Arabidopsis thaliana: one gene and its partner. The protein of the gene in region 1 interacts with the protein of each later gene in a pairwise test. Each region holds a gene or a part of one and is shown on either strand. Other genes may lie near its edges.

Evidence for each region.
Region 2: the proteins of PIN4 (region 1) and AT3G28220 interact in a protein complementation assay, tested with the Arabidopsis thaliana proteins (one large-scale study listed by BioGRID).

Annotation. Positions count from the first base shown.
Region 1 is NC_003071.7:181,569-186,266, forward strand, and holds the start of PIN4 (Auxin efflux carrier family protein), read right to left. Parts: upstream 2,197-4,698; 5' UTR 1,632-2,196; coding exon 437-1,631; intron 280-436; coding exon 12-279; intron 1-11. UniProt on the Arabidopsis thaliana protein: Acts as a component of the auxin efflux carrier. Plays a role in generating a sink for auxin into columella cells. Maintains the endogenous auxin gradient, which is essential for correct root patterning.
Region 2 is NC_003074.8:10,521,984-10,526,681, reverse strand, and holds the start of AT3G28220 (TRAF-like family protein), read right to left. Parts: upstream 2,502-4,698; 5' UTR 2,263-2,501; coding exon 1,922-2,262; intron 1,825-1,921; coding exon 1,652-1,824; intron 1,481-1,651; coding exon 1,198-1,480; intron 594-1,197; coding exon 436-593; intron 343-435; coding exon 185-342; 3' UTR 1-184. Other genes in the region: AT3G28216 (uncharacterized protein), read left to right, coding at 3,258-3,404.

The DNA of each region.
Region 1 (4,698 bases):
GACTCACTGACCGGTAAGCAACAAGAGCCCATATGAGACCGATTAGACTGGAGTACGTGTTTGGGTTTCTGATCAGCTTTCTCCACACCATTATCAATATCAGTCGTGTCATCACACTTGTCGGCGGCATATGTGTTCCGTTGTTGCCGCCGCCATCTCCACCAGCCGCCTCTAGCTCCGCCGTGGAATTAGACCCCATTTTATTCAGCCCTGCTGTAGCTTTCTCTATCTCTCTTTCTCCCTCTCCACTATCAAGACCGCCGATATCATCACCACCACCTGAGAAAACCAAAAATCATGAATACATACAAAAATAATAGTATTCGAATAATAATAAAATTAAACCAACAAACCTCTAGCATATTATTTATGTAAACAATTTTCCGCAATTTTAGCTAAATAATATTTGATGACAAAAAAAAAAAAAAAAAAGAACCTCTAGCATTACTCTTTCGAGGTTGATCAGAGACAACCATCCGAATCTCCTTAGCACCTTGTTCAGATTGTTCCGTTGCCACGTTGTCGCCTGCACCTCCGCCAAACACGTCGGAGACCGGAGAAGCGCTTGAGCTCCAAACAAACATGTGAAGCTCCTTAGCGTCATGGCTCGCTTTGCTATCTTTCTCTTGCAGTTGCTGTTGGTTTTCTTTAGGAATTTTATTCGGTTTAGTTGAAACACCCGTACCGGTTGAAAACTCCGGGTTCGGAGCCGGGTACGAACCGGCCGCCGGAACAGAACTGTTAGTGTTATTGTAAAATCCATATTTAACGGCGTTGTTCTCTTCGAAGTTCGAAGGCCGTGGAGTCGGACCACGAGAAGATTGAACGGAGTACAAATCCGCCGGACCAAAATTCGAAAGCCTCCCGCCGGGAAACCCCATAACAGAGTAAAAATCAGAATGGTTAAAGTTAGAACCTCTCGGAGTCGAACTAAGACTATAGATCTCAGCTCCGGTAAGATTCGAAGGCCGTGGAGTCATCATCAGTGACCGTCTCGATGCGTTTGATTTCCTCACGGTAACATGAAGCTTCCCGTCGTTTCCTATCTCAGCATCCGTCTCAAGAAAATCATGACCGTCGAGAGAAACGACGTCGGATTCAACTTTAAACGAAACAATAGACGCACCAGTCTCCGGGAACTGCTCCATAATAAGAAGCTTAGCGCCACGGTACTCGAAGAGGAAGAGAAGGAGAGTGTACCAAATGATACACTGAAGAACAACGACTTGGACCATTAGAGAACCTGCGTAGGTTCCGTACATGGCGATCAACAGAGGGATCCCCATGACAAGAGTGTTTGGGAGAGTGCTGAGAGAGAAGATTGTGATCATCCACTCCAAGCTACCGTTCTTGGTTAGGTTAGCCCATAGAGCAAGTAAGACGAGCATGATGATTTTTTGAAGCGTGTCGGCGGCGACGAAGCGGAAATTCATGGCGTAAGGATCGTTGGTGGAGATGAAGTGGAAGGAGAGGAGAGGGACGGCGAAGATAGCGACGAAGCGGTTGATGCCGGAGCACTGGTCTGGTGAGAATATCTTCCACCACTGTACGGATCCGTAGGCGAGAATCATAGCTACGTAAAGTGGTACCACGGCGGTGAGGACGGTGTACAAGTCGTGCCACGTAATCATTTTTTCCGGTGGGTTTTGGAGTTTAGTGAGAAGACAGTGGCATTTGAGGGGGAATTAGAAGGAAGAAGAGGGGTAGAATGGGAAGAATAATAAAGAAACCGTTAAGAGAGAAAAGTACAGTAATGATTTACAAGGATTCGGTGAAGAGGACTAATTTATAGAGGTTTTTGAGGCAGTGACAGTGTCATCATCATCATCAGCACACGATTACGTTTTTTAAGTTTGATTAATAATTTGATTTAAAATGGCTTTGTGTGTAGTTGAGTGGGGACACGTGGCAAATCGCATGTGGGGGGAGTTTTCTGGAGGGACGTGGACAGTTTTATGGAATAGTCGTGCTTTTTTGCTACTATCTTATTACGAAAAAGTGGTCTTGTTTTTGCACTTTTTGAAAGTTGCAAAAGGAACTTTGGCGAATACTACGAATTACTGTATCTGTGATCGTTTTTCTTGTAAATGTAATTTGAGTTTTGATTCCAAATAGAATCAAACTATTGTCTACGTACTTGGTACAAGAAGACAGCCACATAAAAATTACAAGAAGAACAAATGTCATTAGTGTTAGGTCCAAGCCACTGTTGGACCGTTGAATTAATTACACACATTTATTCCCTTTTCAAAAATTCTCACTTGCTATGACTAGAATAATATTTTGTTTTTTGTTTTTGTTTTGTTAAACTTGTAAATATCATTAAAAATAAAATTTGAGGTATTACAAAAAAAATATTACTTATAGTTACTTATATTACAAAAAGTATTTACAAGCTCACATCTCGTCATTTTCTCACTCTTAAAATTTTACTCTCCCTTATCTCTAAAACTTCAGCCGCCGCCTGCGTTTAGGGTTACCGGTTCCGGTGGCTTTCTCAGCACCGGAACCGAAGTCTTTTGTTTTGCTCTTATTCTATCTTTTTTCTTTAGACACATCTGAGAGATTTTTTTCCAACGGTTGTGAATCTGAATTTTCAGATCTAGATATTTAAAGTCTAAAACTTTTTCTTTTTAGGTTTTTGCTGTTTGTCTTTTGTCTTTTTCAAGAACAGAGTCAGATCTGGCCGATCCATCCAAGGCAGAAGCGTTTCTATCCAAATTTTCGCCTCAGACTTCTGAAATTCCACCTGAAGATCCCGATCTCGTTCTCTCCTTCATGAGGCTCTCACTCCTTTGGGTCTCTGGATGATGGTTTTATCTCATCGCCCATTCGTGTTTAGGTTGAGTTAAGTGAGGCTTCTAGTCTCAGATCTATCAGTTTATCATTGTTGTTTTAGACTTTGTATATTTCGTTTGAACTCTTGGATTTTGGGTCTGGGAAGTACTTGATCAGATGTGATGTAATTTGTTAGATCGGTTTTTTTCCCCTTTGTTTCATTTAAATATGTTTTTAGTTCCTGGAAGGTCCCATGTACTCTCCGGCTTTTAGAAGAGTGTTTCTCTTGTCAGCTCTTGTACTCAGATCTTCTATCAATGAAATCTATATTTCCAGTGAAAAAAAAAATAGTTATAGATAGATGTTGGTCTGAGACTCTCCGACTCATTAGACCATCCTCATCGAATAATTTTTCATAGATGTATTTCATATAAAATAATATTAAAGGTATAGATGTCTTAAATGTTTTAGGAAGATATAATTTTCATTTTAATGACCCTCATATTTTTTATTTGTTTTACTCTTTTATATTTAAAAATAGCCATCTAAAAACACTCATAAAAATAACCAATGTGGATACTCTTAAATCAGTTTGGACATAACCAACAAAAAGGAAAGAATAAAGAAGTAGGTGGTCGCAAAATCACTAGGATTTGATAGATTCAAGCAGAAACTAAAAGGAGCGAGATTTCTGGGAAATATCAGAGAAGCAGACGAGGTCAAGTCCTATAAATCTGATGGAGAGTAATGTATAGAGGCATCAATTGTACACTAGAAAATCCCTAATATTACTTACTCATCTAGCTCTAAGAAGTAAGAACATCTCAGCGAAATCTTTGTAACTTTATTTCGGTATATAAAAGTCCAGTTTGATTCTTAAAATTGTGATCATGTTTGATTCGATGGAGGACTAGTTATGCGATCTTGCATCCACAATAGAGTAATATTGACCAGAAAGAAATTACAAACAAAGTTACAATAGTATGACATGGAAAAATACCAAATCCAAAGGATCATCAACGTTGGAATGTAAAAATTTTGATTTGTGTAACTCATAGTCATAGGATGTGTTCGAGGAGTGAATAATCTCCCATGCTTAATACTAGTATATATCTGGATGCGAAATTCGCAATTTTTTTATTTTTGTAGCGAAATGGTAAAAAGAGATTCAAAACATTCATCCAGCAATCACTTTAATTAATCCGAATGATTGCAAATGAAAATAGATTCTTTATTGAACACATATGTTTACAAAACAAGAATAGTATTTTTTTCTCATAAGCCTTCCGGAAAAAGTCTACTTCATCATAGAAAAATGAGAAAAATGATCAATGATCATCTATGAGATCAACGATCATAGATGGGATTTGTAACACAACAACACAATAACGGGTTTCATCAATTTTCAAGTCTACTTCATCATCCATCAAGACTTTGGTCTTTAAATATACAATGGAAGCAAATTAAAATGATCGTTCAAAAATCTTACAAACCAGGAAACATAGAAAAGTGAGAATGTGGAGATCAGTTCAATGATATTGTAACTATTGAAAAACGGTTTTTGATCGGCTTCACTATCTCCGAAGGCAACGTTCAACTTGTCTTCGAGCTCCCTGCAAGCCGTCTTGACCCGTGATCATTGATCTCAACATTTTCGATAAAATCAAACTTACATCGTAGCCGACTGAAGAAGTATGGCATCCGAATGAATTGGTAATAACAAATTATAGTTTTGTTTCTCTCCACAATATATATGTGTTATTGTAACAATGATTATTGCTTGGTAACCAAAATATATAGTCGTAAGAATATCATTCACATCTTTATCTACCAGACCTGTGATGTAGATAAACTTGCTCAAATTCAAAGGATCATGGATTAAGCACTTGAGTACTGTATATCATTTCCCGTCCAAGATCA
Region 2 (4,698 bases), on another chromosome or scaffold:
ATAGGAAACAAGTACAAGAAAAGCTAGCTTGGAATCAACGATTTCTACAAACTAGGGAATTGGGAAAAGTGGGAGATAGGCTCCTAAACCTTAGGAAGACCAATCCTCCAATTATTAGCACAAAAACACTTAAAAAACAGAACACAATTGGTTCCAAGCTCTCTGGTTTTGCATTATGCAAAACTTAACTTGGAAAGTATTTTGTGTTAGAGAAATCTTCAAATTCAATCTCCATCTTCAATGTATCATTCACAAGAAGACCTTTAGAAGTATCCTTAAGATCAGCAAATGGTACAAACTTCTGGAATCCCCAACTGTTTGCTTGATCCGACCAGCTTTCAACTGTCATTAAGTTAGTGTTAATTAAACTCTAAAAGAAAAAAATTAATAGAGTAAGTAACATTAGCCACACTATTATGGTTCGATATAATTTACCTTTCTTCTCCATGTGTTTAGAATCTCTCTGGTTTATAATCCGTAGCTTAGCTTTTAGGTAAATCTTGTCATACGGCTTAACATCAACCGCAACAACATATAACGACAACGAGTTACCCTGTCCTTCGCCATCGCCACTTGGATACACTTTCAAAGCCCTAAGAGTTGTATATTAAAATATTGTAAATAGTTAATTTTTTCTTGAATCAGTATTAGTAAGCCTGCGCAAATAAACCTAATCGAATGTACCGAACTAAAATCGAAACAAAATAACAGAATCGAACGGAATCAAAAATTAAAAAATAATCAAATGGATACTAAATTCTATATATAACCGAAAGAACCGAAAGAACCGAAACTAAATGGCTACGTACCAAAATATCCCGGATAACCAAAATATCTGAAATATAAATATATTTCCAAAAATATTAGTTATTTTTAAACTAAATAATTAAAAATATTAGTTATTTTTAAACTAAATAATTAAAAATATATATAAAATAGTTAAAATATTCAAAAATAATCAAAAATATCCAAAAATAACCGAAATATCCAAAAATAATTAAAATATCCGAAAATATTCAAATCAAAATAACGGAATGGATACTAAATTTAAAACCGAAAGAACCAAACCGAAATTTCAAAATAACCAAATAGATAATAACTTTAGAACCGAAAAAACCGATAACGGAATGGATAACCGAACATCCAGGACTAAGTATCAATATGTGGCTTAAAGAATTTATGACATGAGGAACTCACCAGCTTCTCCCACCGATCACGAACTTGTCAGAGACATAGTACTGTTTCTCTAGTGACGAGAAATTGGGTAACGTCCATTTGTAAAGGCGGTCATGCAAACTCTTAGTGAATGAGAACACTTCCCATTTGTTAAAAACTTCAGTGACAAATACGTCCACACCGAATAAAACATTGTCACCGTCGAAAAGCCAACCAGCATTGGGATTAGCCACGTCGGTGTAGGGTCTAACATTACCATATCCCCAATATGGTTTGAACAGAAAAAAGCGTTTTGCATCCGTCTCTGTGTACCAAGACATGCGTTTGAGATTGTGTGTTTTTAAATGCAAATTTTGGCATTTGAAACTATGCAAACTATCAGCGTCTCAATTGTTTTAAATTTAAACGTTGAAAATTTGATTAATACAATATAGTTTATAAATAAGATATAAATAGGGCGTTCGGATGTATATACCTTGATATGTTAAGTACTTGTCCTCTTTCCGGTTATAAATGAAGAATTTGACTTCTGCGTAAACTTCTTTTGGAGAGTTAAGGAGTGTTGAATTGTCTATTTGGACGTACATTGAAACGTAATTAAGTGGAGCTCCTTCCTTAATGTTTCCTTTAGGATAGACAATAAGTGTCCTGTTTGCAAAAGGATATATAGTCTTACAATCAAATGTGTCGTTGAAAATTTGTGATGCAAAGACATATGCAAAATGTAGGATAAAATACTACTTACCAGTTGTATCCACCGGATTCAAAAGGACGGGATTCGTACTTCTCGGCGTTTGGAGAAGTGGCGAATTTTATGAAAGATTCGATTTTGAGACAATAGGTAGATGGTGGGATAACTCTCCATATTTCTCTCCTATCAGATAGCTTATGGGAGGACATTGGGCTATCGATAACGGCAATGGATGATGTTGTTGTTGTTGAAGGTTGTGTTGTTACGATTTTCATGAATTGGAATGCAAAGAAACAAGAAATGAAGCAAGCCAAGCCAATTGCTCCATAGTTTGTCTTTCTCTTCTCCTCTTGAAACATGTGGTCTTCTTTTTTTATCAACCCCTTTTCAGACATGTTTGGTTAAGTGACTGAATTGGTAAGTGTGACGGTTATAATTTATAAGCAAATGACTGGAATATGTAATGGAGTTAGTTAGATATATTTATCTACACACCAAAAAGGTGAGTTAGTTATATATGTATGATGAGTACCAACATTTATTTGGTATTTAGCTTTTTTTGTTTGGTATAAAGAGTTCTTCACCACAAATATTTATAGCGGAGGATCTTTTGTGCGTTCGATAAAAGTGATAATGTTATTATGAACAAGTTATATATTCACGTGTCTTGAGATTTCACGTCGGTATAAGATGGATTGCGACCAGATAAGATTTCTTGAGTTATCGACCAGAAAAGATTTGTTCAACACGTGTTTTCAAGAAAAAGACAAAAGTTTAAGTTGTACCTAAATTTAGCATGTAACGTCAAACACTCCAGACATAGCTTTAGCTAACAACAAGAAATGGACCCAAACGCTCTACACCACAACATAGTTTTGTTCTTCTGTTCCGATCCTAGCCTCTGTTTTTGGATTTAGCTTTAGCTTTAGCTATAATGTAGAACTTCAGTAATCAATACAAAGACTAAAAACTATATTTTATTATATACGTATCAAAACTATCGATTAAATGCTTAATAATTAATTTTTAAAAAATGTTTTTATTTGTAGAAAATATTTTTTATTAATTTATAGTATAATATATAATAATATTTGAGTTTTTATTTTATAAATATCTAGAATTTATAATAAATAAATTATTAGGAATGACCTTCCAATGCTACTCATTTTTAATTCTACCCTTTCATGTAATTCATTTTCATTACTCTCTTTTAATTTTTAATAACCATATATCCTTATTTTTTTAATGTTTAAAGTTAACAAAATAAAATTGTGTTTTTCCTACCAACAATATTTCGACGATAATTTTTTCGCCAAAAATAGTTTTTTTTGTTTGTACAGACGGTAATGTTTTTACATATGATGGAGGCCAGATTCACACACTTGTGTGCATGCAAGAAAATTTTTTTAATAACATGATGGAGTCGGTGGGATTGTCTTTGTTTGGGCAAAGGATACGGTATAAGCTTCCTTTTGAGAAGTTTATAGAGCTGAACCGTTGTATACTAGAGATGATATTTTCGAGAGAATGTGTCTAGCTGCAAAGTGGACAAAAGCGGTTGTTATATTTACGGAGAAGGAATAGATTCTTGAAGAATGTAATGATGAAAAGAGCTTGTGAAAACGTCAATGGTGAGAATGCTCGAGTTTGTGATGATGGAAATGATGTTAGAGGAGGTGATGATGAGAATGACATTTTTAATGTTGGAATCCAAGCTAAAAGTCGGCCACAAAACAACTTGGTGAAGGTCTGATACGTTCATGAGAAGTTGGCACGTGTGAGAACTGAAGTGAGAGATCGGAGTCACGTGTGAAGAAACTTATAAATAGTAAGAGTCTAAGAGAGAGTAGAGAGAAAAGCATCCTTCGTGATCATATTGATGTTGTGAGTAGAATTAGGGCTTATGCATGTGCTCTGTTCTTAGGAGATAAGATTGGAGAACTGTAACTTCAAGCTTATCGATTAGGGTTTTGATTCTTTGTAATTGGATTGATAGATAAGAAATACAAAGGATTACACTTTCATTCTTATCAAGGTCCGAATCAAGTATCACAAATTTCACTTAGTGATTAATTGTGTAAAAGCTTTTGGTTTGGGAAACTTATGATGTTCAGGATGATGGTTTTAATTTGGATTATCGGATTTATGTGTAACATGATGGGATGATGGTTTTGACTATGATCTCGGCTTCAAGATATAGATTATGGTTTTTGGCTATTTGTCTTGAATTTTTAATTTGTAGGATAATGGTTTTTGTCTTGTAATTGCCTCGGGTTTGGTATGTTATATACAACATTATTATGTTATTTATTCATTACTTTTGTGGAGAAAAGAGTGATAGAGATTGCTTGGTAAGAAAATAAACAGACACAGAAATTGGTAACCGAGTTCACGGCCTCAACCGCTACGTCTCGGGGTCTCGGGGGAGATCTCTTGCTCCCAAGCTTCACTAACTTGTGATGATGTCTTTTGGTTTTACAGATTTGCACTCAAGAAGAACAAAGATTCAAGAACAACAAAGAGGAAGAAGAAAGCTTGTTTAGGAAGCTCTTTTATCTCTCTTCTCTAGAACTCTTTTTAGATTCTTTTCTCACCTACCTCCACTATACGTCGTACGTTGTAATGCATATATAGGTGACTTAAATGAGCAACAAACTTTTGCCCACATTTTGTTCTTCTTCACCTTGCCAATTTCGTTGGCCCATTAAGGCCCAATGTTTGTGTTATGTAAAACCCAAACAACAACTTTCAATTGAAACTCAAACTCAATCCAATAAAATACAATCAGAACTCTTAACTCAACAAACTCATACTAACTTTTCATACTTAAA